3 linked regions of the Oryctolagus cuniculus genome follow. The protein of the gene in region 2 purifies or fractionates together with the protein of the main gene of each other region. This does not show direct contact. Links are inferred from orthologs where the notes say so. Each region holds a gene or a part of one and is shown on either strand. Other genes may lie near its edges.

Region 1 (10,245 bases), on a different chromosome or scaffold from region 2:
AAGATCCAAGAGTGTGTTGCTTTTCCATATGTTAAATTTTGTATAACTTAAAAGATTGTGTTGTCATTCAATTTGCTGTTAACATATGATTTGGCTGTCATTTGATTCAAGAGTGTCTTTATTTTCTGCTGCGGTGTACATTTAAGGCAGAGAGAAAAGAGCATTAAAAACCAGTAAGGTCCAGGCAGGATGAGAATTGGAGAGAATGGCAGGCCTGCTTAGAGATGTGCATGCTCTGATTGGAAGATGTGCAGTAATCACTGAAGTGGAGCTTCAGTCTGGCATGCTGAGTTGAGTGAGCTCATTACTGGCTTTCATCTGATAGCTATAGTCTTAACATTTAAAGAACAAGGGTTTGAAAACCTAGCAGATGGCTAGCAGAGTTGCCTACTTGATCAATTTTAGGATGTCAGTTGTGAATTCTCTTGTCTTTCAGCTATTACCATTATTCCCTGTTCTCTGCTTCAGAAATAGAAAAGGAGTGAAAAAGCACACAATTGTCACTGAGTGGGAACAGCAGGAAGTTGTGTTAGGCCCTAGATTGGTGTAGAGAACACTTCACCTAGCCTTAGGAGTATGCAGTTCAGTTTATAGGTGATATCTTCTTAATGTGTTAGTATCTCAATAAAATTAGAATGAAGTTTCTTTCGAATCTCCTGTGATAAGCATAAACCACTCAAGATTCTTTTTAATGTTATTTGGAATTTCAAAGTAAATGCTACATTGAAACAAAAGCAATGAGATAAAATTCTGCTTTGTTTTCAAAGTACATTTGTGTAACTGCCAAGATTGATACATCTCCAAGTTATTCTCACCACCAACCTGTTGCCATTGAGAATAGTTGACTGGAATCTTAGCTTTCTACCCTTCAATAGTTTGGTGAGAAACCTTGTACTGTGTGCATTCTTATTAATTTTTTTGTATTACATGTTCACATTCAATCCTAATTCCACATGAGTTGGAGTTCCTCTGTATTACCAATTTTCACCTGATGTCACATAGACACGGTCTGTTTCATTCTACTATAATTAAAGTGGACATCCAAAATTTTAGTTTAGGTTGTTTCATAAAGAATAGAGAATTCTCAGCTTTTTAAGGGGTACCTATTCTTTCCTAGCGTTACTTTTTAAGGATCTCTTTCAGTTAAAAGTAATAGTAAGATAAAGTACATTTCATTGACTGTTAACATTTTATAAGTAATATCAAGTGATGCTATAAATTTTTAATGGTGCCTACCAAGGGTGTCCATATAATTTATCACCCGGCCAGGGCATGGTCATGTTATGGAAAGTATATGCATTCAGTTAAAAGCACAGTCCTCAGTTAAATTATGCCCAGGAAATGGTATTCTGGAAGTTAGTAAGCATGGTATTCATAGTTTTATCAGCAGCTAAAAGACTTAAAACCAAGAAGTGATAGTCAAATGGTGCTGTAATTTTCTTTTATGAGGTGCATATCTGTACCTTCTAATTTTTTCCATCTTAAATGTTTTGTTCAGGCTTACAACGGGTTACATGTGCCATACTAAGAAGGGAATTTTTCCCTGTCATTTAGGAGGAAAATTTTGCAGCCTCTTTGAAAGGCACATTTCTGTTACTGAGAGGATTGAGACTTAATGAGAGAGGAGGACTGTGTTTACATATATTAAGCCCTTTTTTGTTGTAAAGATAAGGGCTTTTTAAAAATACTTCTCTAAATTAAGTAGATAAATGTGTTGAGGTAAGCTCAGGTATATATGTTACATATCTGTGTTTTTCCTCAGGTGCATGAGTACCTCAGAAGTAAGCTTTGTTCACTGTATGAAAATGACTGCATATTTGACAAATTTGAATGTTGTTGGAATGGATCTGACAGGTAATTGCTTTTAATTTAAACTTAGAGAAAAGGGGTTTATTATTGCATTCTTCCTGGTATGGTTGCCAGTCACAAAAAATAGGGCTTTTTCTTTGAGACTTATTTATTTGAAAAGCAGAGAGGGAAAGATTTTTCATTCACTTTTTTACTTCCCAGTGACCACAACAGCTAGGAAAGGGCTAGGCTGAAACCAGGAGCCTACAGCTCCGTCCCAGTCCCCCACATGGATGTCCGGGACCCAAGCACTTGGACCATCTTCTGTCTCCTTCCCAGGCTTGTTTGTGAGGAGCTGAATTGGAAGTGAAGGAGTCTAAACTTGACCTCACACTTCAGTGTGGGATATGGCCATCTCAAGCAGTGGTTTAATCTACTTTGCTGCAACACCTACTCCCGGCTGACTTTTTTTTAGGTTGACATAAATTAAAAGTCCTAACTTCATTTTTTCCTTCGAGATTCCTTGAAATAAATTTAATAATCTTAGTTTAGTATAGCAATACTGGTCCATAAAAGTGAAGCATTCTTTCACTAGCAGATAGGAGAATATGTAGAATTTATAGATTTTTAAGAATGTTTTAAGGACCAGATAAATCACATTGACATACCAACAATTTATTTTTTATTTTTATTTATTTATTTTTTTTTGACAGGCAGAGTGGATAGTGAGAGAGAGAGAGACAGAGAGAAAGGTCTTCCTTTTGCCGTTGGTTCACCCTCCAATGGCCTTCGCGACCAGCGCGCTGCGGCCGGCACACCGCGCTGATCCGATGGCAGGAGCCAGGAGCCAGGTGCTTTTCCTGGTCTCCCCATGGGGTGCAGGGCCCAAGCACCTGGGCCATCCTCCACTGCACTCCCTGGCCACAGCAGAGAGCTGGCCTGGAAGAGGGGCAACCGGGACAGAATCCGGCGCCCCGACCGGGACTAGAACCCGGTGTGCCGGCGCCGCTAGGCGGAGGATTAGCCTAGTGAGCCGCGGCGCCGGCCGACATACCAACAATTTAAATGGTGAAATTTTGGTTCAGTTACTATCCTATTGTTGAACTATTCTTAAAATATTTGGGCAGCAGATATATTTCACTTGTGTTACTATGCACCAGTTTTTGTAGATTTTTTTTTTAATATTTTTTTTACTTATTTAAGAGGTATAGTTACAGGTTCAGGAGCCCAAGTGCTTGGGCCATCTCTCTCTCTCTCTCTCTCTCTCTCTCTCTTTTTCTTTTTTAAGATTTATTAATTTATTTGAAAGAGTTACAGGCAGAGAGAGAAAGAAATCCTCCATCCACTGGTTCACTCTCCAGATGGCCACATTGGCCGGAGCTGCACCAGTCCGCAGCCAGGAGCTTCCTCTGGGTCTCCCACATGGGTGCAGTGGCCCAAGGACTTGGACCACTTTCCACTGTTTTCCCAGGCCATAGCAGAGAGCTGGATCAGAAGTGGAGCAGCTGGGACTCAAACTGGCATCCATGAGGGATGTCAGCGCTGCAGGTGACAGCTTTACCCACTATGTCACAACACTGGTCCCTGGGCCATCTTCTACTGCTTTCCCAGGCCTTAGCAGAGAGCTGGATTGGAAGAGGAGCACCCAGGACTAGATCGGTACCAGCTGCAGGCAGAGGATTAAACTACTGCACCACAGCACTGGTCCTCGGTTTTTCTAGATATTGACACCTTATGGAAGTAGTAATAAGTCTTTCTTTCAGTCTTTTAAATGTCAACATGTACCACTTACTATGTTCCGATAAAAAATAGTAAAAGAAAGCAGCATTTTGGAGTTCTTTTAAAACTACATTTAAAGTAGAGATGCTTACTTTATACAGTAGATTCATCCTGGTTTCATGATGTTATGTGTTCTAGAGGATATTAAAACTTGAAACATTTAACTTTTAAAAGTTTCAGCCATACATTGGTTCGGTTGCTCCTCTTCTGATCCAGCTGCCTGCTAACAGCCTGGGAAAGTGATGGAGGACGCGGCCCGGGTGCTTGAGCCCCTGCCCTCTCGTGGGAGACCTGGAGGAGGCTCTGACTATTGGCATCAGATTGGCCCAACTCTGACTGTTGCAGCCATTTGGGGAGGAAACCAGCGGATGAAAGAACCTCTGTCTCTCCCTCTCACTGTCTATAACTCTGCCTTTTAAATAAATAAATATTTTCTTAAAAAAAAAATGTTTCAGCGATAGACTAGGCATCCTAATCAAAACCTTACAGATTTACATAGTGAATCATTTTTAAGAAAATAAGAGTTTATTGTATGTAGGGACGTGTACCAATTTGAGTTTGGTTAAAAATTGTCTGTTGAGTAGATGAAAATCATTTGTTTTTAATAGATAACTTGTGTACATAATATACATAGTACAATAGTGATTTGAGCCATGTGGAAAGGAGATAGTAAATGGTAGTAGTACCAGTCAGGCCCTTCCTGAGTTATTAATGATTTTATTTTTGTCAAATTTGGTTGATGAGGCTGTTTTGTAAATATTGAGCAAATAAGACTGACAAGAAAGTGTCTTGGGCAGGCTAGGAATTTGGCACCCTTTTCAACTCACACTTATAAAAATACTTACTTAAAATGTTCTTAGTGGTACAAATTATTTTCTGTTAAAAAATATTACATGCTACTTTCTTAATAGTCTCAGGAATAGATTTTATTATAAGCATTCATAAAATGTGATTATCTGAACCAGGCCTTGGGACAAATTAAATAGCTTATAGTTTAAATTAGAAAGAATTAGTTTCTCCCTTCCTTCCTTTATTCATTTGAAAGTCTGAGCCACAAAGAGGGAGAGGCAGAGACAGGAAGAGAGAACTTTGTTGGTTCACTCCCCAATTGGCCACAGTGGCCAGGGCTGGGCCAATCTGAAGCCAGGAGCTTCATCCCGGTCTCCCACGTGTGTGCAAGGGCCCAAGGACTTGGGTCATCTTCCGCTGCCTTCCCAGGCTCATGAGCAGGGAACAGAAGTGGAGCAGCCGGGACTCGAAGTAGCACCCAAATGGGATGCTGGTACTCTGTGTGGCAGTTTTACCTGCTTTGCCAGAGCACTAGCCCCAGCATTGGTTTCTTAACAGCTGTTTCATGCAGTTTGGTTTTAGAATTGCATAGATGTTGCCTACAGCTGCAGAAAATGCAATCATGACAATTCACTTCTAAGACATTTTATTTGAGGGTACTGTTCAATTTTCTCTTGATAGTTTTGGTAGTCGTCTAAAGGAGTAATTGATAAAAAAAAAAAAAAAGTAAAATATCTCAGGTGTATTCCAGTCATTGAGTTGGTGTCAGCAGTCTTGTCTGTTAAAATCTGCTTTAAGTAGCTGTTTTCTGTGTAGTATCACGCTAGGTTTAATTGTTCTGCTAAAAACAATCTCTTGTTCCTTTGTTTGACTGAATGTTCTGTCTATTTTTACAGTGTTGTCATGACTGGATCTTATAATAATTTCTTCAGAATGTTTGACAGGAACACAAAACGAGACATAACCCTAGAAGCATCACGGGAAAACAATAAGCCTCGCACAGTGTTGAAGCCACGGAAAGTCTGTGCGAGTGGCAAGCGAAAGAAAGATGAAATAAGCGTTGACAGCCTAGACTTCAACAAGAAAATCCTTCATACAGCCTGGCACCCCAAGGAAAATATCATTGCTGTAGCTACCACAAACAATCTGTATATATTTCAAGACAAAGTGAATTAGTGTTGGCATTCCTAGCAGAGGAGCCCACTTCCTGCTTAGTTGAGATAGTTGAAATCTAGCATTCGTACCTATAAAAGAGAGAGGTCCATTGTGGTGCCCCTTTCCAGTGTTTGACAGTGTGCCATTTGACAACACATTTTTATATAGCTACATGGAGAAAGCTCTGTGGATTCATCACTGTGGTGTTCTCCATGTCTGCTAGCCATTTAGGTAAGGGTAGGGCACTTTTAATTTAAATGACTTCTTGCACCATCTTGCCTAATGGACTAGATTGGACTGTATCAACATTGATTTACTCCACTTTTTATGCCTTCCATTGTGATGATGTCAAACACAGTGAAAGCCTTCAGTCATGCTATGGGATTTAATTGTGTATCCTCATTACTGTATCATTGTGGGGTACACCCCTCCCTCCCCCTTTTTTAAATTAAATACAGCTCATTCTTACTGTGGCTTGTAGCATTCCTCCTCTCTGGCCTCCTGGACTCTTCCCCCTCATCTCTTTTACCTTTGCCCCCTCCACCCGACTTGGTGGTGGTATATTAAAAAAAGAACGAAAGCACACAAAATGAGTCAGTTTGGGGTTTAGTGGTAAAGGGGGTGTATGTTGCGAACAAATGTTTTAATAACAGTTGGCTGTAATCACTCCTTGCCATGTCTGGCACTGAAAATAAGGAAAAAAAAAACTACTACTGAATAAAAGTGACAAAGAATGGAGAATCTGGTTTTCTTTTTCTTTTTAATCTACCTCTTTAAGCCAGTATTTTGTGACATACCCTTTTGGACACCGTGAAATGAAATGGGTTTCCATTATTTTATTAGTATTTTTGTTAATTATTTTTATCAAGTGTTCTTTTACATGGAAAAGGAGGGGTATTGGTTCTGTATGAACATGTTTTAAATATATGTTGGTATTATTAAGGTTTTCATAATCTATAAATGCTACTAGAGACTTTTTACTGTAGTTATGAGGGTATTGGATACATTGTATCAACACTTAACTCATCTGTTAAATTGTTGTAAATGGGATCCAAATTTGTAGAACTTCATTTTAAAATGACTTTTTACAGTGCTTTGATTTTTTTGCCTTACTAAATACTAAGTCAAAGACTAAAATGTTTTTAACAAAAACTTTTTTGTCATTCAGTCTTACAGCATAACATTAACATCAAATGATCTAATACAAATTGACACTGCACTACTTTTTTTGTATTTTATTACTATCAAAGCAGAATGAAATGTACTTTACCATAGATATTTTCCTTCTATTTTTGATTTTCCAAAGCTGTATTAAAGACAAAATTTTAAAGGTACAGTGTTAAAAAAAACTGCTTACTGGACTCCCCACAGCTGGCCCTATAAATAAAATTTGGTAATCTGTGTATGACTACATTTTCCCTAAGTGGTGATACCTTATCCAAAGATGAAGAGTGTCCCTATTTTTAATAGGTGGAATATACCTTTGTCAGTCTTGAAGAGCTTTAATGGAGAAAAAATGGACTTTATTTTTAAAAGATGCATTGAGCAGGCATTTATATTATTAGAGAATGGTAGTATATTTTGGTTGAGCAATAATATAACAACCTTGAATTTTAGAGGACTGAATGCTTCTTATATGTCCACTACCTATTGTTCAGATGCAAATTTGATTAAATATTTCATCATAATTCCCTCTACACTTATATAAATATTATGTCTTGTAAGTTAACATTTTTAGCACGCAGTAGAAATTTTATGTAATAAAATTACTGTCTCTGGGACTTAGCAAGTCTGAATTTGTATTTAAACACTGATTATTATATGTCTGATAATTTTTAACAGCACTTTTTCTAATTTATTTTGGGATCATTGGTATATTCATAGTTTGTGCTATTTATTCTTCATACTAACTTGTAAGTGGAATATTCCCCTGCCAGAAGTATCAAGTAGTGATACTGTGTTTTCTGATGGAGCAACTCTCCAGAACATCTGTTTTGGTCGTGGTTTCCCTACACTTGGGTTGTATGCTTGATATAACATAACTGAATAGCTCTTGGAAATTTATTTTTGATTGATCAGTAGCTAAGATAATTCTCACCCATTACACTAAGGGATAGTTTTATATATTTGAGTGAAATGCTTCTATAAGGTATGCTATTATAAATTGTAACATTAAGTATTCATTTTCAAATTTCTTTGGTGTAGCAAACTACGAGCCCAGCCACTCATTTTATATGGTCATGGTTAATCTTTTTATTAATAAAAATTATACTTAGAATGAACTTAGTCTTGTCAAGTTGCTTGTATTTCCTGTTCTCTTGTCACTAATAAACATTTTCTGTCCTTTCTTAACCTTTTTAAAAGATTATGATAGGAAAGAGAAGTCTCATTCTGTTAATCTCTATGATCTTTACTTAGTGGCTGGGCAATAGTAATAGTTAAAAAGCAAATCTTATAAACACTTTTATATACTAGTAATTACGGGAAAGAAGATTATGGAGCCCTCAGTCTCTTGGAATTAAAAAAAGCTATCCATGTACTTTTCCTTTAAAATTAGGAGTCTGTTAAACCTTAAATGTGAGTTCTGGGTAGAGATATTCCTTAAAACAAAACAGTTCCTATTTTAGTGTGTTGGCAGTATTTTGTAACAAATTACTTTGGTGGATCTAAGAAGTGTTGGGGTAGTCTCAAATGCTAAACATCTTTTGTAATTGAGTTTTGTCTTGACATGTTACTGAATAATGATATTAGACTAACCTACTACCTTGAGAGAATTAAAAGACTTCAAGGGTTAAGATTAGTAATCTAGAAAATCAACTCCATAGCACAGTGTCTGTCAAACACAAGACACTACAAAGCTCAGTTTCCTTCCAAAAGGAAGGATTTTATGAACATGAACGGGCTTAAGGAGAAAAACTAGTATTTGTTTCTGCTTTAGTTTTTTAATGTTCTACTCAACATGTATGCTTCTTAGTAGTATTTGAGTAGCTACATGCTACGTTAAAAGAGTTTCCCACTAGGGGGCAATGGTTAAGTCTTAACAGCATCTGTGAGATAATTTGAGAATGGTTTTCATTATTAAAGACCAAATAAGGGACTGAAAGGAATATCTAAAGTGTGCATACTCATATATGCCCAAATAAAGCTACGGCTCAACATGACCCTGGACTAAGTGAGGACCATGTGATGGAGGAGGAGCTCGGATGCCAGGTGTGGTCTCGTGCTCAGACCTTCCTAGGAAAGCATCAGAAACAGATGAGCTACCCTAGTGGGATACTCTAGCAACATAAAACTCCCAGTCACATTTTTATTTTATTTTATTTTTTTTTTGCTCTTGGGCTTGTAATTTTTACAGAAAGTGTAATTATGCATATTATTTAATGTCCTCTTTCACCACTTAAACATCTTGAGTGGTTTCCTAAATGAGGTGTTCATTGTAAGCAAGATTTGCTTATCAACACAGCCTGATGTTGCATGTTCCGTAATTAGCTGAGGCTGATTTTCATTTTGTAAACAGAAATATTAGAATAGTGAACGTAACCTAATTTTGGTGTGTAAAATGATTAGGATACATTGTTAGAAATGTAATTGCTGTATTAGAGTATATGGATATATTTCATATTTGGTACATAATGTCAAATTTCCCTTTCAAAAGTTCCATCATAAATACACAGAATTAGCCATCATTTTCTTCCAAAATAAGGTCTGCTTTTACCTTTTCCTTCAGTGCTTTTTTTTTTCTTTGAGAGGCAGACAGGTCCTATCCACTGGTCCACCCTGTAAAGTCCCAACAACCAGGGCTAAGCCAGGAGCTGAAAACTTAATCCAATTTTCCCATGTGAGTGGCTGGAACCCCAACTACTAGAACCCTTATTACAGAACCAGGACTCCCTAGGCACTCCAAAATGATTCCCCAATGAACAGCTTAACCACTAGGCTGCATGCCCACCCATCAACATTGCCTTTTGAGAAGCAGAAATTCATAATTCTCATGAACCCACTTTGTCAATATTTTTAGTTTTTGGATTATTCTTTGGGTGACATCTGAAACTTGCTTAACTCAAGATCAGGAAGATTTAATTTTAGAAGTTTGTGTTTTTCTCTTTACATCTAGGTCTGTGATCCATCTGGGTTTGTACATATGACATATATAAAAAAGTGTATGTGCCACAAGTAAATTGAAGCTTTCCTTGGTACCTTTGTCAAAAATCAGTTGACCGTGTGTGTGTGAGTCTATGCTGTCACCAGTATGACACTGTCTTAATTACTGTAACTTAAGTGTTGAAATCTGGTAGTGTGAATAACCCAGTTTTGTTCTCCAAACTGCTCTATTTTAGTGCTTGGGCCTTTACATAAACATTTCAGAATCAGCTTTATGACTTCAAAAAATTCTGCTTAAATTTTTATGACAATTGTGCTGAATCCATGGACCAATTCAGGAAGAGTAGACATCTTCTTTGTTGTTGTTGTTCTTTAGAGATTTATTTTATTTATTTGAAAGAGTTAAAAAGAGAGGCAGAGACAGAGAGAGGTCTTCCATCCACTGATTGATTCCCCGGATGACCGCAATGGCCGGAGCTGCGCCGATTTGAAGCCAGGAGCCAGGAGCTTCCTCTGGGTCTCCCACATGGGTGCGAGGGGCCCAAGGAGTTGGGCCATCTTCCACTGCTTTCCCAGGCCATAGCAGAGAGCTGGATCAGAAGAGGAGCAGCCGGACTAGAACCTGCGCCCATA
Region 2 (10,964 bases):
TCAATTCCCTTATTTAAAAGCTGTAACTGGTAAGCCCTGAGCTAATAGACCCCTGTCCATCTGGAAACCACTAAAAAGTTGTTTAGTGTAGTAACAGTGACTCGGTAACGAGAACCTGGGTGGCAGTGCCTATTCGGGTCCTAATGAGCTTCCTCTGCCCCTGAGTGCTGTGGTTGATTTGCCTGAACTTCTAACCTGGGTACATCTGTAATATTTTTACTTAATTTCTCATTTGCTACGAGACATGGCACTTTTTTCCTTTGTGGGTTTTCCGGGTGTGTCAGCAGAGCCGCAGCTGATGGCTTCCTCTCACACCCCTGACATACAGGTGAACGGCTGTCTGCTTGACCCCGTGCCTCCCGTCCTGGTGAGGAAGGGATGCCAGTCACTGCCCAGCAATGTGATGGAGACCTCCATCGACGAAGGGCTGGAGACAGAAGGAGAGGCTGAAGAAGACCCCGGCCATGCCTTTGAAGCATTTCAGTCTACACGCAGCGGGCAGAGACGACACACGCTGTCAGAAGTGACCAATCAGCTGGTGGTGTTGCCTGGGACAGGTATGACCGCAGAGGTGCACCAGGCTAAGCTTCAGTGTAAGGCCGCCACAAAACACACCCTACACCAGAGTAAGGGGAAGGGTTTATTGGTGGGGGAAACCCGACAGACCGGAAGGAAGGAGTAAAGAAGGAAAAGAGAGCGAAAGAAAGACAGGGAGAGAGAGCCATGTGTTCAGGAACAGGTTCTGTTACACCTTTGCCAGGGGGTGGGCAGGGAAGTAGAAGCAGCGAATCCCATTAGGGTAGGGGTGGAGCTGACACCTGTGGTTGGGCCATGTGACCACCTGGCTTCCAGCCATGGCGGCGGGGGCTAGAGCCTAGGATGGTGTCAGGGTGCAGATTGCGCCGTAGATAAGACTGTGCCATTTTACCAACACACAGCACTATCTCGTACTCCAGGCACCACGGAGTGGGGATGATCCCGGCAGTGCCCAGACTTTAGTCTGTGGCTCCCCTTACGGAGCAGCTTCAGCAGGCTCCAAGACAAGGCCTGCTCAGCAGCCACAGACGGAAATGAAATGTCTCTGAGTCCCACGTAACTCCTAGGAGTCATCCGAGTGGCGTGTGATTCATCAGGGATTCTGGCTCTTTGGGAGCAGAGATCTTATGGGTGCAGCTTCTAGAATGTTTCCCCCACAGAATCTCAAGATGATTAAACGGTTCTAAAAAGACGTCTGCTGTGAATTGAAGGACATGTGGCTGTCTTGGGGCGCTTGTGCCCTGTTCAGATGCTGCTGCTGTTGGTTTCATGTGCTTTGTTTTCTCTAAAAGGGAAAATCTTCTCCGTGAGTGACAACCCCTCCCTTGACAGCGTGGACTCGGAGTATGATATGGGGTCTGTTCAGAGGGACCTGAACTTTCTGGAGGACAACCCTTCCCTGAAGGACATCATGTTAGCCAATCAGCCCTCAGCCCGTATGCCGTCTCCCTTCATCAGCCTGAGGCCCACCAACCCGGCCATGCAAGCCCTGAGTGCCCAGAAGCGAGAGGCCCACAACAGGTCGCCAGTGAGCTTCAGGGAGGGCCGCCGGGCGTCAGACACCTCCCTCACTCAAGGTGACAGCTTTCTCCCCGGCCTTTCAAGCCCTGAATGTCACAGGACTGTGGGAGGGGGGAGGGGGCAGTTGTCACCTCGTCAAAGTGAGCACCAACAGGCCTTGTGTTTTATCTGAACTGCTGGTCTTTGTACTGTCTTTCAGGAATTGTAGCATTTAGACAGCATCTTCAGAATCTGGCTAGAACCAAAGGAATTCTAGAACTGAACAAAGTGCAGTTGCTGTATGAACACATGGGACCAGAGACAGACCCGAGCTTGGCCTCAGCCACGCCTCAGCTCCAGGACCTGGCCAGCAGCTGCCCTCAGGTGGGTGTCCCGAGCTCTTCCCACGATGGCTCGGAGAGGAGAGCGTGAGCGTGCACTGTGTTCACGCAGAGCGCTCCCTGCCGTCTTGGGCAGGCAGGTGCTTCTGGGAAACCCACACCAGAAAGCTTTCCTTGTTGCCACCACCTGCCACTGACACAGCCAGCCAGGCTCCTCCAAGTGTCCACTAGAGGCCCAGACACCCGCCAGCCAGCCGTATGTGGGTGACTCATAGTCTCCCTTGAACTCCCCTGCACCACCCACACCCACACAAAAGAATCCACGTCAGTCACCCAAAGGAGAAGCTTCTTGCCACTACTTGTGATGTGATTTGTCACATTATTATTCATGCTAAAAATACAGTAAGCAGTGCTATTTTTCCAATCCTTTTTATTTGGGGTCTGTTTTTAGTGCATCAGGGATATTGTAGTAGTCAAGACTTGGAGTGTTATGTCTCACAGTTAGGATTTCTCTTGGACACTGCAGAAGCACTTACACTGAGCATGGGAACATTTTGCACGTGGCGAGTTAAGCACAGGTGTCACCCTCTTGCTTCTCAGGAGGACGGTCCTCAGCAGCAGGAAAGCGTGCCGCCGCTGCCTCCCAGTGTGCATCAGCTTTCCCAGCGGCAAAGCCTGGAGACCCAGTACCTGCCGCACAGACTCCAGGTGGGACCCTCCCCCTTGTTGCTCGGCTCACTTTGTTCATCCAGCACCTGCTTCTGCACGGCCGAAACCTGCTTGGCCTGGCAGGCCTGGCATTTAGTTAGGGTGGCTCTTTCCCTCTGTGTAGGCAGGTAGGTTTGACTCGGCACTTCTAGAAACATGTTAGGGTCTGTGCCGGCAGTGGGAAAGCATTTGTCCTCAGGCCCTGGGAGACACTGAGTGGTAAGAATGGGAGACCTGGCTTCTTTGTTAAGATTTATTTATTTGCGAGGCAGAGTTACAGAAAGAGAGAATCTTCCATCCACTGGTTCACTTCCCAGATGGCCACAATGACCAGAGCTGGGCCCATCAGAAGCCAAGAGCCAGGAGCTTCTTCCGGGTCTCCCACGTGGGTGCAGGAACCCAAGCACTTGGGCCATCTTCCACAGCCTTCCCAGGCCATTACAGGGAGCTTGATGCAGAAGTGGAGCAGCCAGTACTCAAACTGCCACCCATATTGGATGCCAGTGTTGCAGGCAGAGGCTTAACCTACTACACCACAGCACCAGCCCCCTAAACAAACTCTTAATGAATAATATAGAAATCAAAATCTCATAACCACAAAGTTTTGAGTCCTCTACACTGGAGCATGAACATCTTTAAAGATATATAACACACACAGATCCCATAAAGAATTCATCATGCATTCAGCAGGTGCCAGGGCCTTGTTACCAAATTTAACTCTACTTTTCTCTCTCTCTCTCTCTTTTTTTTTTTTTTTTTTTTTTTAACAGATAGAGTTTAGTGAGAGAGAGAGACAGAGACAGAGAAAAAGGTCTTCCTTCCATTGGTTCACTCCCCAAATGGCCGCTATGGCCAGAGCTACGCCGATCCGAAGCCAGGAGCCAGGTGCTTCTTCTCGGTCTCCCATGCGGGTGCAGGAGCCCAAGCACTTGGGCCATCCTCCGCTGCCCTCCCGGGCCACAGCAGAGAGCTGGACCAGAAGAGGAGCAACCAGGACTAGAACCCAGAGCCCATATGGGATGCCAGCACCACAGGCAGAGGATTAGCCAAGTGAGCCATGGCACCGGCCCCTCTCACACAATCCGAGGAGTTTCAGAAGTGGAAAACTAGTGTGCTAGATCTGAGGCAGCCCACACCTGCTGGCCCGGCCCTCTCCCAGGGTCTTGATGGGCAGGTGCCAGTCTCTTCATCCCGTATGGGCTCTGGAGGGCACAATTGGATTCACAGTCCAGGCAGAAGCAGTCTGATGACTGAGTGTTCATGACAGCATGTTGTCACGATTGTGTTGTTTCTCCGCTCTTCCAGAAGCCCGGCCTCCTGTCAAAGGCTCAGAACACCTGTCCGCTTTATTGTAAAGAACCACCACGGAGCCTTGAACAGCAGCTGCAGGAACACAGGTGAGAGGGCCTCTGGCCGAAAAAGTCGCTTCCTTTTGTGGAAGCTTGGAGACTGCTGCATGTGTTATCCTTTGCCCCTCGTGCTTACATCCACCCGGAAAGCAGGCTTTGATGCCAGGCCCACAGGCTTCTCAAGCGTGATTGCTGTGAGGATATTCTGGGTCCATGGAGTTTGGGCTCGTCAGGTGTAAATGGCCTTAAAATGTGCATTGATTTCCTTTTCTTCCATCGGTTCCTCTTTGGGATAGGACCAGACCTGAGCGGTCAGAAGCAGTGGCCTCAGGCAATTTAAGTCAGACCACAGAGAACGTCCCCAGGCCTCACCTGAAGCAGCTTGGCCAAGACAGAATTCCCCGAATCCATCGACCTGCAGAGGTCTAGGCCTCATCGCCTGACCACTGCCCACCATGGGTGGGAAATCAGCCTCTAACTTTATGCGGAAAAAAAGTCTTAGAGAAAATGCCTTTGTGCTCAGGTTAGCACTGAGGGGTCAGTCAGAACCAGAGGGAACAAAACATGAGATGAAGTTTAAGAAACCCAGTCTGACTGGTTCCTACTCCCGCTCACCCTTTCCTTTCATGGGAAGGAGAGGAGTGGGGCCTGAAGGTGCCCGGCTTGCATTCACGGGAGCATTTCAAAAACAGCTTGGTTTGGGAAAAAACAGTTAGGTTTATTTGGGCATAAACATTTTTGAGATTCATGCATGTTTGTTTCATAATACAAATTTTCCATGAAGTTTTTGAAGGCTTTTTGTATGGATGGATTTCAGATACTTTTTGCACTAAAATAAATTTGCTGTTTAATTCCATTTTTCCATGAAGTTTTGGAAGTCCCTGTGTATGTTCAAACTGCCGTCATGTGACTCTTCCTTCTGATGTGTCACTTTAGGCTCCAGCAGAAACGGCTCTTCCTCCAGAAGCAGTCTCAGCTGCAGGCATATTTTAATCAGATGCAGATAGCAGAGAGATCCTACCCACAGCCAAGTCAGCAGCTGCCCCTGCCCCACCAGGAGACTCCGCCACCATCCCAGCAGCCCCCACCGTTCAGCCTGACCCAGCCCCTGAGTCCCGTCCTGGAGCCTTCTTCCGAGCAAATGCAATACAGCCCTTTTCTCAGCCAGTACCAGGAGATGCAGCTGCAGCCCTTGCCCTCCACGCCACAGCCACCACCTCCGCCACCGCCACCGCCACCACAACAGCCAGGAGCTGCTACAGCGCCCTTACAGTTCTCCTATCAGACTTGCGAGCTGCCCAGTGCTGCTGCTCCTGTGCCAGACTACCCCGCTGCCTGTCAGTATCCCGTGGACGGGGCCCAACAGAGCAGCCTCCCAGGGACAGACTGTCCCAGGAGCTCTGGACTGCAAGAGAATCCCTCCAGCTACGACCCCCTAGCCCTCTCTGAGTTACCGGGACTCTTTGATTGTGAAATGCTGGACGCTGTGGATCCACAACACAATGGGTATGTCCTGGTGAATTAATCTCAGCCCAGGAAGTGAGGTGGGTCCAGTGAAGGAAGACTGTGTGTTTCTATTTTTATTCCAGCCTTTTAAATGTAAAGCTTATTTTCTTGCCCTCTCCCTAATGGGGAAAAATCAAGTCACCCAACTGGAAACAGAGGGCCTGGCTGGGGTGGGTGTTGCTTCCTCCTGGCTCTGTCCCGCCACAGTTTTCTGCGGCAGGTGCTGGAACCTAGTTGTAGGCTGCAGCTCATGCCCTTAGGTCAAGTGGAGCAAGATCTTGAGGGAGGTACCAACAGATGTTTTTATGAGATGACAACATTCAGATCTAGGTTTTATGCAGAATTATGCCTGTTCATTCTTGAGGGAAACCCTGGTCAAAGCAAGAAAAAGATGTGCTATTGCATTTATAAATAGGGCAAATAAAAAGGCAATATATTTTCACTGAAGCCAAGCAACAAACATACTGCTTCAAGGCAAATCAAGAATACATAATGGAATTTGATGTGCAGGAAATAAAGGAAAGCTGTATTTTGTCATCTTAAGTTCTTAGCTGCTAATGCAAGTTGTCCCCAAGGCCATCACAAAGCAGTGGAGTATCAGCTCTGTTTCCGGGACCACTAACAGCTGGTGCTGACCCCTGAGCCGGGCAGTCGTTTCCTTTGGGAAGCAGGTGACACACCTCTTCAGAAGAGGCCGCTGGGTTACACTGAGGACTACAGAGATGTCAGGAGAGCCACTGCAGTGGGGGCCGAGGCGAGGAGAGTACCCGCCCTGGGCCAGGGCAGGCGGGCTGCTCCTGCAGTCTCTTGTGGAGACTTCTGGCTTGGGCCAGTTGGTCTCCAGAGGATCCCTGGTCTCTCTGCAGTGTAATAACTCCTTTGACTTTACACCTTATGTTGCTAATAGTTTCCTGAGCTTTGTATATTTGGACAGTTTCATATAGGGCTTAGAAACCATAATGACACAAAAATGACCTTTGATGTCCCATGTGAAGTGGTAGTGCTGTGCCTTTCTCCCGGAGATCATGCTTTAATTCTTTCTTTTCTGTAGAAACCCGGTTTTGCATTTATGTCAAGGCTAAATCCAAAGTCACTTCAGAGTTTGTTTTCCACCATGTGGGAATCAGCATTAATTTCCTTAAAATCTTGACTTGTAATGAAATGTTCAAGTATTCACAGCAATATTCAGAGAACCACAGATGTGTTAACCGTTTAAGCAGATCATCTGCCAAACCCCTGACATTATTAGTAGAACCCAGCCCTTAGTCCATTCATCATAGGAAGTGAAAACTAGATGCTCCAGCTAATTTCCTGTATACCTAGAAGTAATGAGTCATCTGTCACGCGGAGACTAAAACCCAGGTGTTACAAATCCAGTATTATTTATAAAAACTATTAATTTCTATCCTTTAGAATGGCTTGTCCTGTCAGCAGATGAATGCGTTAAGCACAAAGCGTCTTCCTTAAAGCACAAAGAAGAGAGCTACTCCACTGATGCTGCATCTAGAAAACACCTTTAAGTTGCCTTTCCTCTGTAGTAAGTGTCCAGACAGGTGAGGGGAGCATGGCAAGCCTAAGGAGTCTTCTGGCCCCCCCAGTGTGGGTGACCTGAGCAGTCCTTGTTGCCAGCTGGACAGTGCCTCACGGTGGCCACCGGTGCCAGGATGCTTTGCTGAGGTGCTCTGCCTGGAGTTGGACTCAAGGACTCAGCAGGAGAAAGCAGTGGGGGTGGGGGGACCGTCATTTTTGTGATTTGATAACAGGCAGTAAAAATCCAGGAAGGATGAATTATGTTCCTTTTATGGGTTGTTTATTCCTCCTTGTGCTTAAGATGGATGGTGTCATGAAATAGAGAACTTCATTTCATTTAAGAGATCATTTCATTAAGATCTCTAATCTGTTTTAAGTCTTTGCAAAATAAGCCAGTTATAAAACGGCTTGATTTGTTTAGACTGAAGGAGGATGTTTTCCCAAAATGTACTACAGAAGTGCTGTAATATTTAAAAATTAGAATGCCTTCCAGATTGAAAATGGGACCGCTCATTTCAGAACTGCAGGAATGGCACAGATTGGCATACGTGGCTGCCCCCACCAAGGCTGCGCTCCTTAGCCCAGGAGACCCAGGAACTCCGGCAGGGCAGTTAGGCCGACAGAGTGAGTGCTGGGAGGCTGAAGGGCCCAGAGCGAGCAGGACGCAAGCGCAGTAGCCAGGCCTGTGGCAGTCAGCAGAGTGGAGGCATGGCGGACACTGGCCTGCAGAAGGGCAGACCAGGCCGGAGGCTGGGTTCTGAGCTCCCGGTTTGTTTAGCTCATTTCAAGCAGAAATTGGGAAACTCTGCAGCCACCTTTATTAGCTGAAACGTAAGCGGGGGAGAGGCGACTGGTTCTGTGTCAGTCAGCTGTCCGCTGGGAGCTGCCAGCAGTTTGCTCTTCGTAAACCCGTAGCAACACTAAGGCGGCTTACGCCACTCTACTTACACGAAATACTGACTTGCTTTCCAGTCTGTTTCATGTTAGCAGTGTGTACACTACTGTATAATAATCATTTGCTTTATTATCTTGTAAACCAGGCTCCTCTGAAGAGACTTTGGTGAGATAAATGCGAGGTAAAAATTTCATCCAGCAAAAAGTGCAATATGTGTGGTACTTTTTTATTTTTGTGTATGTTCTCTCTTTTTTTTTTTAATCCAGGGGTATTAGTCTCTGCTTTGGGAAAAATGCACTAGTTCTGCATTTCCAGTTGGGCAAGTGTGTCTCTAGTATCTACATGCAGCTGATAATGCTGGTCCCTGTAAGGCAAACACAGCATGTGAGCACAACAGAAAGGGGGCGGCCGTCCCACTTCTAAATTCCTAGTAAGCTACACTGACCAGCCCCAGCCCTCCCCTCGCCACTTCTGCCCACCTGCCACCCTAGGCCAGGGAAGGGACCAGCGGTTCCTGCACCCACCACCCAGAATCTACCGCAAGGGTGTCACTGGGAGGACTAGAGACGGGACAGAAGGACCCACAGTGCCACAGTGTGAGCACGCCCCTCCTCCCTGCATCAGACCTTGCCTCCCCAGAATCGAGAACTCAGTGGTCTACACCACGTCCTGGGGCCGCAGGCGTGCGTCAGAAGCTTGGGATTATGACAGAACAGCCCTCAACTCCTGTGCTCCTGCCTGGCTCTGAGCCCTACAGGAACGGGGCACCCTGTACCCTTATGGGGAGGGAGAAAGGACCACCCTGTGGGAGACCACCCCACCCCTGCCGTCAGCTCCAGGCCCCTACAGAAGGGACTTGTCAGGGGACCGACCTCTCCCACACACTGGGTGTCCTCAGAGTCTGTGGCAGAGAGATTTACAGAATTCTGCCAAGTTGAGAGGAGGGGTTGTTCTCAGCTGGAGAGTGCCTGGGTGACCGGCAGAAGAATGAAGGGCCGTAAGAACCGCCTTCTAGCCACAGTTGGTCTAGGGTCCCTGGAGTGAGGGCGTTGAAACAGCCTCTGGCTAGGTGACCTGGACGGAGTGAGTGCTGCTGCTTTTGTGAGGGTCTTCCAACCTCTGCGGAAGCCCCAGGTTCTTAAATATATTGGGATCAGAGTTTTTCTGCCTTGGATGACGTTTTAAAACTTCTATCGACAGTTACACTCAAGCTCCCTGTAAGGCGTAAAGAAAACTGATAGTGCAAGTAACTTTCACGTTCCTCCTCTAGAGACAGAACGTAGGTCATTTGACAACACTGGTCCCAGTGGATAGTTGCAGAATCCCTTTGCAGGGGCTGACCTTTGCCGCACGGGTACCCCTACACTGGGCTGCTTCTACTGCCTCCTTGGAAGCCACCCGCGCCGTTCGGTCTCTTTGTGCCTAGACATCAAAGGTAAAAACTGCAGAACAGGTAGTCAGTTGCAATCATTGTTTAGGCAGGCATCTTTGATCATTTTGTTTCTGGAAATGTTTTCTAGAACTTCAAGAGTGATGCATGGAGAGCAAGAACTTTCTAAACGGAACAGAAAACAGTTGTAAGAAACCGTACCTCCCTTCTAACAGGATGGGAAACGAGTACAAAGCTCTCTGCCACCCTGAGGGCGGCAGGATAGACAAAGTCAGTGGCCTTTCAAGGCCCATTGGGCCTAGAGTCTAATCTCCCAGTGCCCTCTCCCTTTTTACCACTCCCTCCCCCCCCCCAGTTAAGGTGTGGCCTGTTCAGTTCTAGAAGACTCTTGGCTGTCCTGGTTGCATCACATCCCGTGCCCACCTCTCATCGGAGCAGATTTCAACACGTTTGGCAGAGTCAGCACATACTGTTGCGCAGATTAAGAACCGGGCCGCAGCCCTGCCCACAGACCTGGGCGGCGAGAGTTCCAGCCGGCCCGCCTGCCCGCCAGTGAACAGAGCACCTTCCCAAGTGACCTCTCCTAATCCTCAACCACCCCGCGCGGCAGTCGAGAGATCCTGTCCCTGTCTTTGTGGCCCGGGGAGGCAGGGCTCTCGTTAGCTGACGTGCTTCACGGAGGTCAGGCGCGTGTGAGCGCAGGGCCGGGACTGGGCTGACTGGCATCTTGATTGGGTTTCTGGCTTCTTACTCTCTTTCCCTGCTCGGTGGCAGCTGAGTCTTTGCATAGGCGAACAGCTGTATAAACAAAGCCCCCATGTTTGCCAGGCGCGGCCACGCCCCCCACGTGGCAGCCCCCTGCCTCGGCAGAGACGCCCTTCAGGTGATGACTGCCGCTGTGCAGGGGGCCCCCGCATCCATTCAGCAAGGCTGTGTGCGACAGACCCCATAGACAAGCTGGCCTTTCGCGTCCAGCAACTACAGGTGTTCGGGCTCCTGTCAAAGGCATTGCACGCTAGAGTAACTACCGACGGCCGCCTGACGGCAGGACACAGCCTGCTCTACCGCCAGGCAGCTGAGCTCACGGCCAGCTCAGGAAGGGCGCTGCTCGGGGAACCACGACCTTACGGTCCTTGTCAGCGAGTCTTCTAGACACCTTTAGGGTTAGAAAAAGAACATGCTCTAATGGGAGAGGTTGTCTTTCCAGATGTGGGTAAGGAGGGAGGAGCTTTAAAAACAGACATACAAAACCACATCCTTGAAAAACAGGACCCCTAACTGGAATGTTACACCTGTAAGCCCAGGGACGGGACTTGCCTCTGGCTGTGAGATGCCTGCCTGGCCACGAGTAGCGAGTAGCTCGGTCAAGGAAGTAGCCTTCCTGCTACTGATGGGAAAAAAAAAATCTGCCTTCATCAAAACCTCTGAAGGAGGGAAAGGCAGAGAGAAAGGAGGTTTGCTTCTCTTTGGGGGTCCAACTTTAAAATCTAGAGAGGATATTTGCACTTTGTAGAAAGGGCAAGATCATTGCTTGTTTCTGAAGGAGGAGGGAGGTGTTGGTGGATGTTTGGTCTGTGAAAGAGTTACTTTTGATAAATTAACCTAATTGTAGTTATTTTTTTCTGTGTGCTTTTTTTTAATTACTAAGAAAAAATTGGTGAGTTCAATAGCTTTGGTATTTTGAATGCAAATCATAATAGCACCAATGT
Region 3 (10,246 bases), on a different chromosome or scaffold from region 2:
CGCCCCTGCCCGGCTGGGAGAGCAGAGTCCTGTGGGAGGCGTGGGGACTGCCCGCTGGGAGGGACAAGCGCAGGCTGCACCAGGAGTGCGGGCGCAGGGCACGCCGTGTACACAGTCACAGCGGGGCCCTCAGCCCCTCCTTCCCCGGGAGCAGTAGCCCTGGTTTCCAGCTGCTCTGTGGCCCAGCCTCCCCTGCAGCCCCCTGCGGCCAGGGACCGAGTCCCAAGCCATGAGGCAGCTGGGAGGGAGACGGGCACTTCCAGGCCACGCCCCGCAAGGACCCTCTCCCGTGGCTGCCCGGACAGTGACAAACCCCAGGGACCAGGAGCAATGAGTTCAGAAAGGCCTGGGCAAGGCGGCCTGGCCTGGCCGGGGGCAGCACCGCACCTGCCGGGCGTTTTCTGGTGTTTGGGTGTCCACAGGCGGGGCCAGCCCAGGGTCCTCCTCCAGGCACCAGGGAGCCCCCCCCGGGGCGGGGGAGCGTGGCTACTGCCTCAGGAACAGCAGGGAGGCTGGCAGGGCCCCTCCCCCGGCAGTGGCGGGGCGGGGGGAAGTGCGTAGACCCCGGCCCACCCTTGGCTGCTGCATTCCCGCGGCGCTCCTAGGGCTGGCTGGGCCCGGCGGCCACAGTGGTAAGCACACTCGCGCTCAGGCTTGGCGGCAATGTGGGGAGGGGGTGTGGAGTGGCTGCCCGGGGGGCTGGCCCTGCTGTTCACATCAAGCAGGAGGAAGTGAGGCCCCCAGGGGGAGGGGACAGCCCCAGAGCATCACAGCATGGTGGGGGCGGTTCGAAGCCGCTCCCAGCGCAGTCTCACGGCCGCTCAATGCACGGCTGGCCAGATCTGCACACCTCGGCTGCGACCCCGGCCCCGTCCACCTGCTCCTCTGCCGACGTGTTAGGGGTACACGGTCACCGCTCCCACACCCTCCCCCACTGCTCCCTCCTGAGGCCACCTCCGGTCCTGCCCCCCACGTGGCCTCTGGGCACAATTCTAGCAGCAGCAGGTGCAGACGCTGGCGCTTTGCTTCTGCGAAGGTTTGCAGTGACTCCCTTATTTCGAGTTCTGGGAGCTTCACGGTAACCAGGAAACCTCCCCTTGGGGGCTGGGGTCGCCCCTTAGTGGCGGGACTCCCGCCTCGCACCTCCAAGGAGCAGTTCGGAGAAACCAAGGCAGGGAGGAAGGCTCGGGCCCTCTTCCTCCTTCCCGGGAGTGACAGCATCAAGTGCCCACACGCACTGCCCTCCGCCCCTCCAGCTGCCAGATCCGTCACCTTCCTGCAGGCAGCCCAGAGGCCCCTAGGTTCCTGTGCAGTGCACACAGTGCCTGTCCACTCAGGCCCGGGGAGTCCCCGGGGAGTTTCGCTGGGCCTTGCGGCTGCTGGCTGCCCCCAGGGGACTGCACCTGCACCTTGGCTGTGGCTTGTATCTCGGTGCAAATCTGAAGCTGCCAGGAGCTCCGTGTGCCCCTGCGGGGGAGGGGCGCCCGGCCAGTGGCCCAGCGGGATGCTTTGGCTGAGCAAGGGCCTCGACTAACCACCAAGAACGTGGCTCCTCGGGAAGGAGGCCCGGCAGGGTGGGGCGGGCGGTCCTGGCTCTCAGTTGGTGGCCCCCTCCAGCTCTTCCCACAACCCCCAGAATCTGGTGTGACCCCACCCTACTGGGCCTGCTCCCCATCCGCCCCAGTGCCTTTGTGGGGTTCTGTGCCGGCCAGCTTCCTCCGGACGCCCCCGCTGCCGGCTAAGGCTCTAGCTTTGCAGCCTCTGACCCATTTCCCACTCACCGTGAGCTTCCTGGCTCCCAAAAGCCTCGGGGCCTTCACCCATGTCCGCTGCGCCTTGCTGGGTTCCCATGTTGGACCCCTCGCTCTCCTTGCAAGCGAGGGTACTAAGTCGGTGCCATGCACAGGTCGCCGGCCCCTGCCCAGGTGCCAACACTTACCCACAAGGCCCTGCTCAGCCAGCGGCCCCAGGCCCACGCTGCATTCTGGGGACACAGCAGGGAGCCAAAGGCCCCCTGACGTCACATCGGCTGAGTAAGCAGAGCTGGGGGCAGCAGGGAGCGGGGGGCAGGGCCAGGTGAGGCGCCGGCTCCCGCTCGGGAGGCTCGGGGGAGCAAAGGGTGCAGGGAACCCACAGGTGAACCAGCACCCGCGCACACCTCAGCCACGGCAGCCCGGGGCCGGGCCTCTCTGGTTTCTGTGTGAATCTGGGAGGCGCAGGCGCAGTGGGGCTGCCGGGGCAGCCGTGGAAACGCGGTGCCAACACGTGCCAGCCATGAGGCCTCCGGCTGAGTGTTCAGCCTCTCCGGCCCTCGGTCCCTCCTCGGGGCGTGGCTGTTTGGAAATCCCAGTGAGCCAGGCACGCCTGCGTCAGCACGGATCAGAACAGGGAGCCTGTCCCTTACTGAGTGCTCACGGGCCAGGCACAGGCTTCACGGGGGCCATCCAAGCCCCTCTCGGCCCCCTGGGAACTCGTCTGCCCTCTCAGCAGCGCCACTGCTCAGAGCTCACGGGTTGGGGCTGGCGTCGAGGCCCAGCTGCTCCAGCCGCCTGGTCCCAGACCCGGCTGCTCCGCTTCCCATCCAGCTCCCTGCTAATGCGCCTGGGAAAGCAGCAGAAGACGGCTTGGGCTTGGGCCCCGGCATCCACGTGGGAGACCGGATGGAGTTCCAGGCTCCTGGATTTGGCCTGGCCCAGCCCCAGCTGTTGCAGCCTTTTGGTGCGAGAACCAGCGGGTGGCAGCTCTGTGTCTCCCAGGTACTCTGCCTTTCAAACAGACTTTTTTTTTCCCAATGAAGGAGAGGTTAGAGTCGCCGCAGGTGCTGGAGCAGCCGAGCCGTGCGGAGCCAGGCAGCCAGGAGAGCCCGGTGCGTGCCTGGTACATGCCACCAGCCTCCCCGTGCCCGGGGCAGGCCTCGAAAACACAGACAGCCCCGGGAGCCCCGCTGTCCATGGAACATTTGTTATTTTATTGGAAAAAGCTGGTATTCACATATTTATAATCTTATTCAACAGTTGGATAATTTGTGAGACACCAAAGACAGACTGCACCTAGGAGAGTCCAAAACGGTCGATCTCCACCGCCAGAGGCCCCGCCGGCTTCGTGGGGACCAAGTGAACCCTGCACGGCACCAGCGCGCACGACCACGGGCGCGCGCCACCTCCCGCGGCTTCCGGGGTCGCCCCTCCCCCTCCGATCCATGTTGTAGGATGCACCATCTGCTTTGCATATCTGGATCTTCCCAGAGACCCAAAGATACACGTTTCTCCGGGGAAGAGCTCTGTACTGTGTTTCTTTTTTTTTTTTTTTGGCTTGCTACCCAAGTTTTCAGACGGAAAAGCCCTCCTTTGCAGAGCTGTAAGACCTGGGTTTGGTCGGTCTGACAGCACTCGAGACAGCCGCACCACACAGCCAGGCAGTCACGTGGGGCCCTCGCAGCTGGATTTGGCTTCCCCAGCTTTCGACACAGCAGACCCCACCCCTGGGAACCTCTTTTCAAGGGGGACAAGCCGTCAAAGAAGCTTGGATTGTGACGTTGAATCAGAGCAGGTGTGTGCACGGAACACTGCCCAGGCCACCTGGGCCGTCCAGTGAGAGAGAAACAAACATTCATTCATGTTGATTGCAAAAGAAAAAAACACCAATGGAGCCATTGCTGCGCGGGGACGCCCCGGCCGGCAGCCAGCACACATGCGATCTGTGCTCCTACACACGGGGAAGTACGCCGCCGCCCGGCAGGCAGGGGCTCAGTGGGGCCCGGCCGGCCTTGGGGCCATGTTGCACGTGGTTACAGAAAGACACAAACGGAACGGACGGAGGCGGCCCGGCTGTGCTCTGCTCGCCGAGGGTTCTGCTGGGCCCCAGAGCAAAGGCAGCAGGGCGTGGGCTGGCGTCTGCCGGGGCGGGGACCCTCTCCCCACGTTCTCTGTGGCAGCGGCCCCCAGGACTGCACGTGGGCCTTCTGGAAGTGTCCTCGAGTGGTCCCGGCACCAGGTCCTCTGGGAAGCCATCCATGGCGCTTGGAGAGGAGCTGCAGGTGCATCTGTGGCGGAGCGACGCGGCCCGAGCTGGGGGCCAACTCCCGACGCCACCAGACAGAGCGAGGACCTCCCCACCTCCCATCCTGCCTCTCGGCTGGCCCCGGCCACCGTCACACCGGCCCCGGCCCAGCTCCCGAGACGGTGGGCCGTGTGCCTTCCAGAACTTTCGTGGGACGCTGAGCCCACGCCAGGGCCTGGACGGGATTCCACCTCGGGCAGCGCGGAGCCTCGGCCACCTTTCATGGCTGGCCGGAGCAGAGGGGGGAGGGGCTGGCAGGGGGCGGGTGTGTGGGGGGTGGGGGCGGCGTCTGTTTCCAGGAGGTGCCCAGTGAATGCTGGTGGGGACAGGAATGCTGCAGAGCGAGCAGCTGGGGGGGCAAAGCAGCCTGGCAGCGGTGGGGGGGCGGGGCTAGAGGGGGCGGAGCACCAGGCCTGGGCTGTTCGCTCAGTGGGGTGAGACCCCCCTCCAGGACACAGCGCTGCCCCTGGGTCCTAGGTTCCTCAAAGGTCGCTAAAAACCAAAAAAAAAAAAAAAATGAGCCTGCACCTCCAAGTTCTCTGCGTGAATTCACCATCCCAAACCAGATGTGGGACAGCCAGCCGGGAGCCGGGGCCAGCCGCACCATGGACAACGTGAGGGACCTGGCTGGCTCGTCTGCGCTTCACTGGCGTCCCCAGAGCCCGAGCCGGGCCCAGCCCCAGCTTCCCTGGCCGGGGGACCCTGTGGGAGTGAGGAATGAACTAACGATGTGGGAAAGACCGCTGACCGCGACGGGGGCGCCCTGCCCCTGACTCCCGTCCATTTGAGATCTGTGGCTATGAATCCTTCCTTAGAAAACGAAATCCAGACAGCGACCGCCGACCGACCGCGGCGGGGCGACCCCCGGGCCGTCCCGGGGCCCTAGTGCACGTCGGAGTTGACTTTGTCCTGGAAGATGTACAGGTTGTTGGTGGCGGCGATGGCGATGATGTTCTCGGCCGGGTGCCAGGCCGTGTGCAGGATCTTCTTGGTGAAGTCCAGGCTGTCCACGCTGATGTCGTCCCGCCGCCGCTTGCCGCCCACGCACACGCGCCGCGGCTTCAGCACGGCCCTGGGCTTGCTGCTCTCCCGCGAGGCCTCCAGGGTCACGTCTCGCTTGGTGTTGCGGTCGAACATGCGGAAGAAGTTGTTGTAAGCCCCGGTCATGATGACGCTGCGGGGGGGGGGGGGGGGACGGGCAGGCGTCAGGGCGGGGGAGGACGGCCAGAGCGCCCTGCCCCGCCCGTCAGGTGACCTCACTGCACACACCGTGGGGCCAGGAGCTCCGCCCCAAGCACAACCAAAATACTCCCCTTAACCCCTGGACTTCAACGACTGTGCCAGCCCAGAGACAGCAGCACAGACACTGGCTGGCCCCCTGGGTCACCAGATCCCTCCCCAGCCCCGCACCCCCGCCTGCAGGGGAGGCAACCCCGGTGCGCTGCCTGGCTGCAGCGTGCCCACTTCCCCAGGCAGAGCTCTCGGTTCTCTCCCTGCTGGAGACAGGGCCTGGCGCTCTGCAGCTGCAGGGGGCCTTGTAGTGGGGAGAGGAGGAAGGGGTCCCTGGGGAACGGGGCAGGGGGCCCTGGCTCAGTTCTCCATGGAGGCGCGAGCCAGCCAGGATGCCCCCTTCCTGTCCAGATGCTGGACGGTGCCCCTGAGGGCGGCCCTGGATGGCATGGGACCATGTGGGCTCACAGGGGCTGTCCCCAGACAAGAGTGACCACAGGTGACCCTGGAGCAGTGTGGTGCAGAAGAGGCAGGAGTGTGCAGGCCCCGTGCAGGCCAGGCCAGCCAGGGACGGGGCTCCCATGAGGCTCAGAGGCCCCAGGCAGCCCTGTGTCCCGGGCTGACGGTGGTGGGAACAGAGACACCATCAGGCAAGTGCGGTACCCGAGGCCCCAGCTCCTAGTGGGCACCAGGGGAGGCGGGCCCTGGGCCAGCCGGGCTCACGGTGGCTATTGACCAGGCCGGGCCCCGCCCTCCTACTCCGGATGGGAAGGGACCCCCAAGGTCCAGCCCTGCCCCCTCACAGAAGGGGCTGGGGAAGTTTTGGCCGAGGATGCCCGCTGGGGGACGTGAGGCTCCATGTCAGCCCGCGAGCTGCCCGCCCGTGCCATGAGCCTTGGTGGAGCCCACGGCGTGCAGCGCTGCCTTGGCTGTCACCTCCCCTTGCCATGAACCGGCTTCGTCTGGTGGAGGGAATGAGAACGCCCCCCCCCCCCCAACACACACACAGTGGCTCTGCTCCTGGACATCCAGCCAGGGCCCCCGCAGGGGCAGAAGCACCCAGGGGCCGGCTGGGCCACTGGGGAAGAGCTCCACATGGAGGCAACTCAGAAAGGTTCTGGAAGGTTCTAAGGCACCAGCCAAGCCTGAGGGGGGGAGGGAGGGGCCAGAGGAGGAGGAGGGAGAAGGAGAGTTGGTGGGGGCAGATGGGAGAGACGGAGGGGGAGAGAGAAGGAGGAGCGAGAAGGAGAGTTGGTGGGGGCAGATGGGGGAGAGACGGAGGGGGAGAGAGAAGGAGGGAGCTGGTGGGAACTCTGCGTGGGGGGGCATGGGGACAACGGACTGAGGGGACACACACGTGGCCTCTGCGCCGCCCGCCCTCGGGTGTCCTCTGCTTCCTCCACTGGCTGACCCCTCCCCGAGGGCAGAGGGCTGCGGGTGCAGCCCCGGGTGGGGGGCCCGAGGGAGCTGCCGCGGGGTGGGCAGGGCCTGTCCTGCCTGGCTGGGCCTCGGTGTGGGGGGCCCAGGACCCTGTGAGGACACCAGTAGCAGAGCCCACGGCCGCGGGAGGCTGCTCTGGGCGCAGGGACACCGGTGCGTGCCAGGATGGCCGGGGGTGGGGCCTTCGCGCACTCGCCACGCCCAGCTCAGCGCCCGCCGGCCCACGGGGCAGCAGAGGGCCGTCCTGAGCCATGGTGGGGGGCTGTCTACACAGCATCCGTCTACACAGCCTGGAGCGTATAGGGGACCATCAACACAGCATCTGTCCACACAGCCTGGAGCGTGTAGGGGATGTCTACACAGCATCTGTCCACACAGCCTGGAGCGTGTAGGGGACGTCTACACAGCATCCATCTACACAGCCTGGAGCATGTAGGGGACGTCTACACAGCATCTGTCCACACAGCCTGGAGCATGTAGGGGACGTCTACACGGCATCCATCTACACAGCCTGGAGCGTGTAGGGAATGTCTACACAGCATCCGTCTACACAGCCTGGAGTGTGTCAGGGGACGTCTACACAGCCTGGAGTGTGTCAGGGGACGTCTACACAGCATCTGTCTACACAGCCTGGAGTGTGTCAGGGGACGTCTACACGGCATCCACCTACACAGCCTGGAGCGTGTCAGGGGACGTCTACACAGCATCCATCTACACAGCCTGGAGCGTGTAGGGGATGTCTACACAGCATCTGTCCACACAGCCTGGAGTGTGTAGGGGACGTCTACACGGCATTCATCTACACAGTCTGAAGCGTGTCAGGGGACGTCTACACAGCATCCGTCTACACAGCCTGGAGTGTGTCAGGGGATGTCTACACAGCATCCGTCTACACAGCCTGGAGCGTGTAGGGGACGTCTACACGGCATCCGTCTACACAGCCTGGAGCGTGTAGGGGACGTCTACGCGGCATCCATCTCACTTGCAGCAACAAGTGTGTTTCTTGCTTCCTCTGAGGTTAAAGGTCAGGGCGGGCGGGGACGGAGCGCAGACCTTCCTCCTGCCCTCCCTGCCACCCCTGGAGGCCTCCCCCCTCTGGCAGCCCTGGGCCAAGGGCATCCCTGCCCGGCTCTCTCACGACCCCTGCCTGGGGCTCCTGGGGCTCCCGGGTGCCCTGACCCTCAGCTCCGCCCTCAACACCCACTTTCTCCCCTGGAACACGCTGCCCCCGCTGCCCAATGCCCTCCCACCCGCCGCGTCCAAATCCATGTCCAGATCCAAACGCTGCCTCGTCAGAGGGCGTCCAGGCCCCCCAGCCCCCCAGCCCCTCCAAGCCCCCTGCCCGGGGCATCCCGCTGACGCGGCCCCGCCCCCCGCCTCGCATGCCTGCTGCCTGCAAACCAAGGCCCACGCGTGCAGGCTGGCGGCCACACCCTGGGAGGGAGCGCCGGCTGACCCCGGCTCAGGGCACGACCCCAGCGTGCCTGCCTGGCCAGCAGGCGCCGAGGCAGAGGAGCTGCCCGGGGCCCCTGGACGCCCCGCTCCTTGCCCATGCTGGTCTGGGGCCAGCGGGGGGCAGCGGCCAGGCTCCCGCAGGACGCGGTGCACGGGTGGCCACTCCCACCTCTGCTGAGCGCCAGCGCCGGGCGCCGCGGGGCTAGAATTTCCCGAAACATGGGCAGCGGCTTGCTCTCTGCTGCCCTCAGGTGGCGCGGTCAGGCACTCCGGCTGCGTGCACACCCCTCTGCCGGCCACCCTCCGCCCTGCTCCGGCCCCCCCCGGGGGGGGGGGTGTCCCATCCACCCCTGACACGAGACCGGGAGGGAGCCGGCCCCCGGGGGGGTGTGAATCAGATCCCGCACACTGAGCGCTCAGAGCGGGGCCGGGCTCAGGTCACCGCCCTGCCGGCATCTGGGAATGCCAACGGCCACTCCTGCTTCTGGTCTCGGTGCCACGGGGCAGCGCCTGCTTAACCAAGGGAAGCGGAAGGGGACAGCAGAAGGAGGAAGGACGCCCGCCCCGGGGCACGGGGCTGGAGGAGACCACCCCTCTCCCCCGCCAGCAGGGGGCAGGCAGCCCCTCCCTTGCTCTCCGGGGAGCAGCTGGAGCTGCACCATGCCGGCTGTGCTCTGGAGTGCCGAGTGCAAGTCAGCACAGTCACGGGCAGCCCGCACAGCTGCGCCCCCACGTTTCCCTGGCCCAGCAGCAGCCCCCAGCCCCGAGCTCTGGGGGAGGCCAGACCCCACCCAGCACTGCTGTCTGCCCCTCTCTCAGCGGGACACAGGGCGGCCCTCTCCCAGCCCCCACTCCGCCTCTGCAGGTGAACAGCAGGATGCTGGCTGCTCTGTCCCCAGCCTCCTGTCCCCCCGGGCCCCCTGGCCCATGGAGCACTCTCCTGCCTCTGGCCTGGGCATGCAAGCTGCGTCCACGCTGCCTCCAACGGTGGGCGTGTGACTCACAGAAGGCCAGTCGGATCCTTCCACGAGGCTTCGACTGGACCCTGGCAGGGGGCCCACCTGGGGTGGTCGTCCAGGAGGAGAGGGCTGCAAACACACCACGAATGACCTGCTCCCACACCACGGGCCAGCGAGCGCGTCACAGGGGCGGGGGAGACGGCAGACAGGCTCGGCGGAGCCCCCGCGGCCAGCACAGACCCACGACCTCGCCCCCCGGCATCCACGAGGCCCACCCTCCCAACGCCAGGAAGGCTGGAGAGACTCACAGCGGGAGGGCGGCAGGTGGGGGATGGGGACAGGGTGAACGGGGTGGGTGGGGGATGGCGACAGGGTGAACAGGGGGCTGCTGGAGTTGGGGGAGGGGCACAGAGAGGCAGAGACAGCAACGGGAGCCTCACGTCGTGCTCGGGAGGAGGAGGTGGCACAGCCCACGCCTTCTAGAAGGCTCGGCAGCCATTGCCCAGATCTCCTGGGGGCAGGCGGGTGAGCTCTAGGGCAGGTCTCCAGGGGGCAGCGCGGAGGGGCAGGGGAAGCCAGGGCTTGGCACTGGCGCCTGCGCACGGGCGCCCCCTGGTGGCAATGCGCGAAAGCACATGCAGCAGGTGGCGGCCGGTGGAAATTCACCCCCAGTTCTCACACCCAAGGATCCAGGCGGATGTTGGCGACTGTACCTGCTCAGAGAGGGCGGGCCCGTTCCCACACCGGAGCCATCAGAGCCGATTAACCACCAGTCCCCGGGATGCATCTCACCCAGTCGCCAGCCCAGGCCCGCTGCGCCGGGTGTGTGTGTGTGTGTGTGTGTGTGTGTGTGAGGGTTACCTGTCACTCCCGTTCCAGGCACACTCAAACTTGTCGAAAATGCAGTCGTTCTCATACAGGGAGCACAGCTTGCTCCGCAGGTAATCGTGGACCTGGAGGAGACGGGCAGGGGTGAGTGGTGACGGCTGTCAGCCTGTGCCGCCCTTACACCCGGGGACACCGGGATGTCCCACCCGCATCTGCACGCACAAATCCTGCCCATCCTTCAAGGGCCAGCCCAAGCGCCACCTCCTCCAAGAAGC

Evidence for each region.
Region 1: the proteins of SIK2 (region 2) and PPP2R2A purify together in Homo sapiens (affinity purification with mass spectrometry; 3 studies listed by BioGRID and IntAct, with this or other methods). This does not show direct contact. The link is inferred for Oryctolagus cuniculus from reciprocal best matches to the Homo sapiens genes SIK2 and PPP2R2A.
Region 3: the proteins of SIK2 (region 2) and PPP2R2C purify together in Homo sapiens (affinity purification with mass spectrometry; 3 studies listed by BioGRID and IntAct, counting the BioPlex papers as one, with this or other methods). This does not show direct contact. The link is inferred for Oryctolagus cuniculus from reciprocal best matches to the Homo sapiens genes SIK2 and PPP2R2C.

What each region holds. Positions count from the first base shown.
Region 1 is NC_091433.1:47,867,145-47,877,389, reverse strand, and holds the end of PPP2R2A (serine/threonine-protein phosphatase 2A 55 kDa regulatory subunit B alpha isoform), read left to right. Parts: intron 1-1,762; coding exon 1,763-1,854; intron 1,855-5,252; coding exon 5,253-5,532; 3' UTR 5,533-5,887; downstream 5,888-10,245. UniProt on the Homo sapiens protein: Substrate-recognition subunit of protein phosphatase 2A (PP2A) that plays a key role in cell cycle by controlling mitosis entry and exit. Involved in chromosome clustering during late mitosis by mediating dephosphorylation of MKI67.
Region 2 is NC_091432.1:103,679,322-103,690,285, forward strand, and holds part of SIK2 (serine/threonine-protein kinase SIK2), read left to right. Parts: intron 1-328; coding exon 329-557; intron 558-1,328; coding exon 1,329-1,613; intron 1,614-1,756; coding exon 1,757-1,920; intron 1,921-2,477; coding exon 2,478-2,585; intron 2,586-3,890; coding exon 3,891-3,982; intron 3,983-4,230; coding exon of another isoform or gene 4,231-4,363; exon of another isoform or gene 4,364-4,790; intron 4,791-4,870; coding exon 4,871-5,440; coding exon of another isoform or gene 5,441-5,459; exon of another isoform or gene 5,460-6,817; intron 6,818-6,853; coding exon 6,854-6,878; 3' UTR 6,879-8,196; coding exon of another isoform or gene 8,197-8,229; 3' UTR 8,230-9,149; coding exon of another isoform or gene 9,150-9,307; 3' UTR 9,308-10,964. Other genes in the region: PPP2R1B (serine/threonine-protein phosphatase 2A 65 kDa regulatory subunit A beta isoform), read right to left, coding at 9,150-9,287. UniProt on the Homo sapiens protein: Serine/threonine-protein kinase that plays a role in many biological processes such as fatty acid oxidation, autophagy, immune response or glucose metabolism.
Region 3 is NC_091433.1:3,562,524-3,572,769, reverse strand, and holds the end of PPP2R2C (serine/threonine-protein phosphatase 2A 55 kDa regulatory subunit B gamma isoform), read right to left. Parts: intron 10,097-10,246; coding exon 10,005-10,096; intron 5,234-10,004; coding exon 4,942-5,233; 3' UTR 4,891-4,941; downstream 1-4,890. UniProt on the Homo sapiens protein: The B regulatory subunit might modulate substrate selectivity and catalytic activity, and might also direct the localization of the catalytic enzyme to a particular subcellular compartment.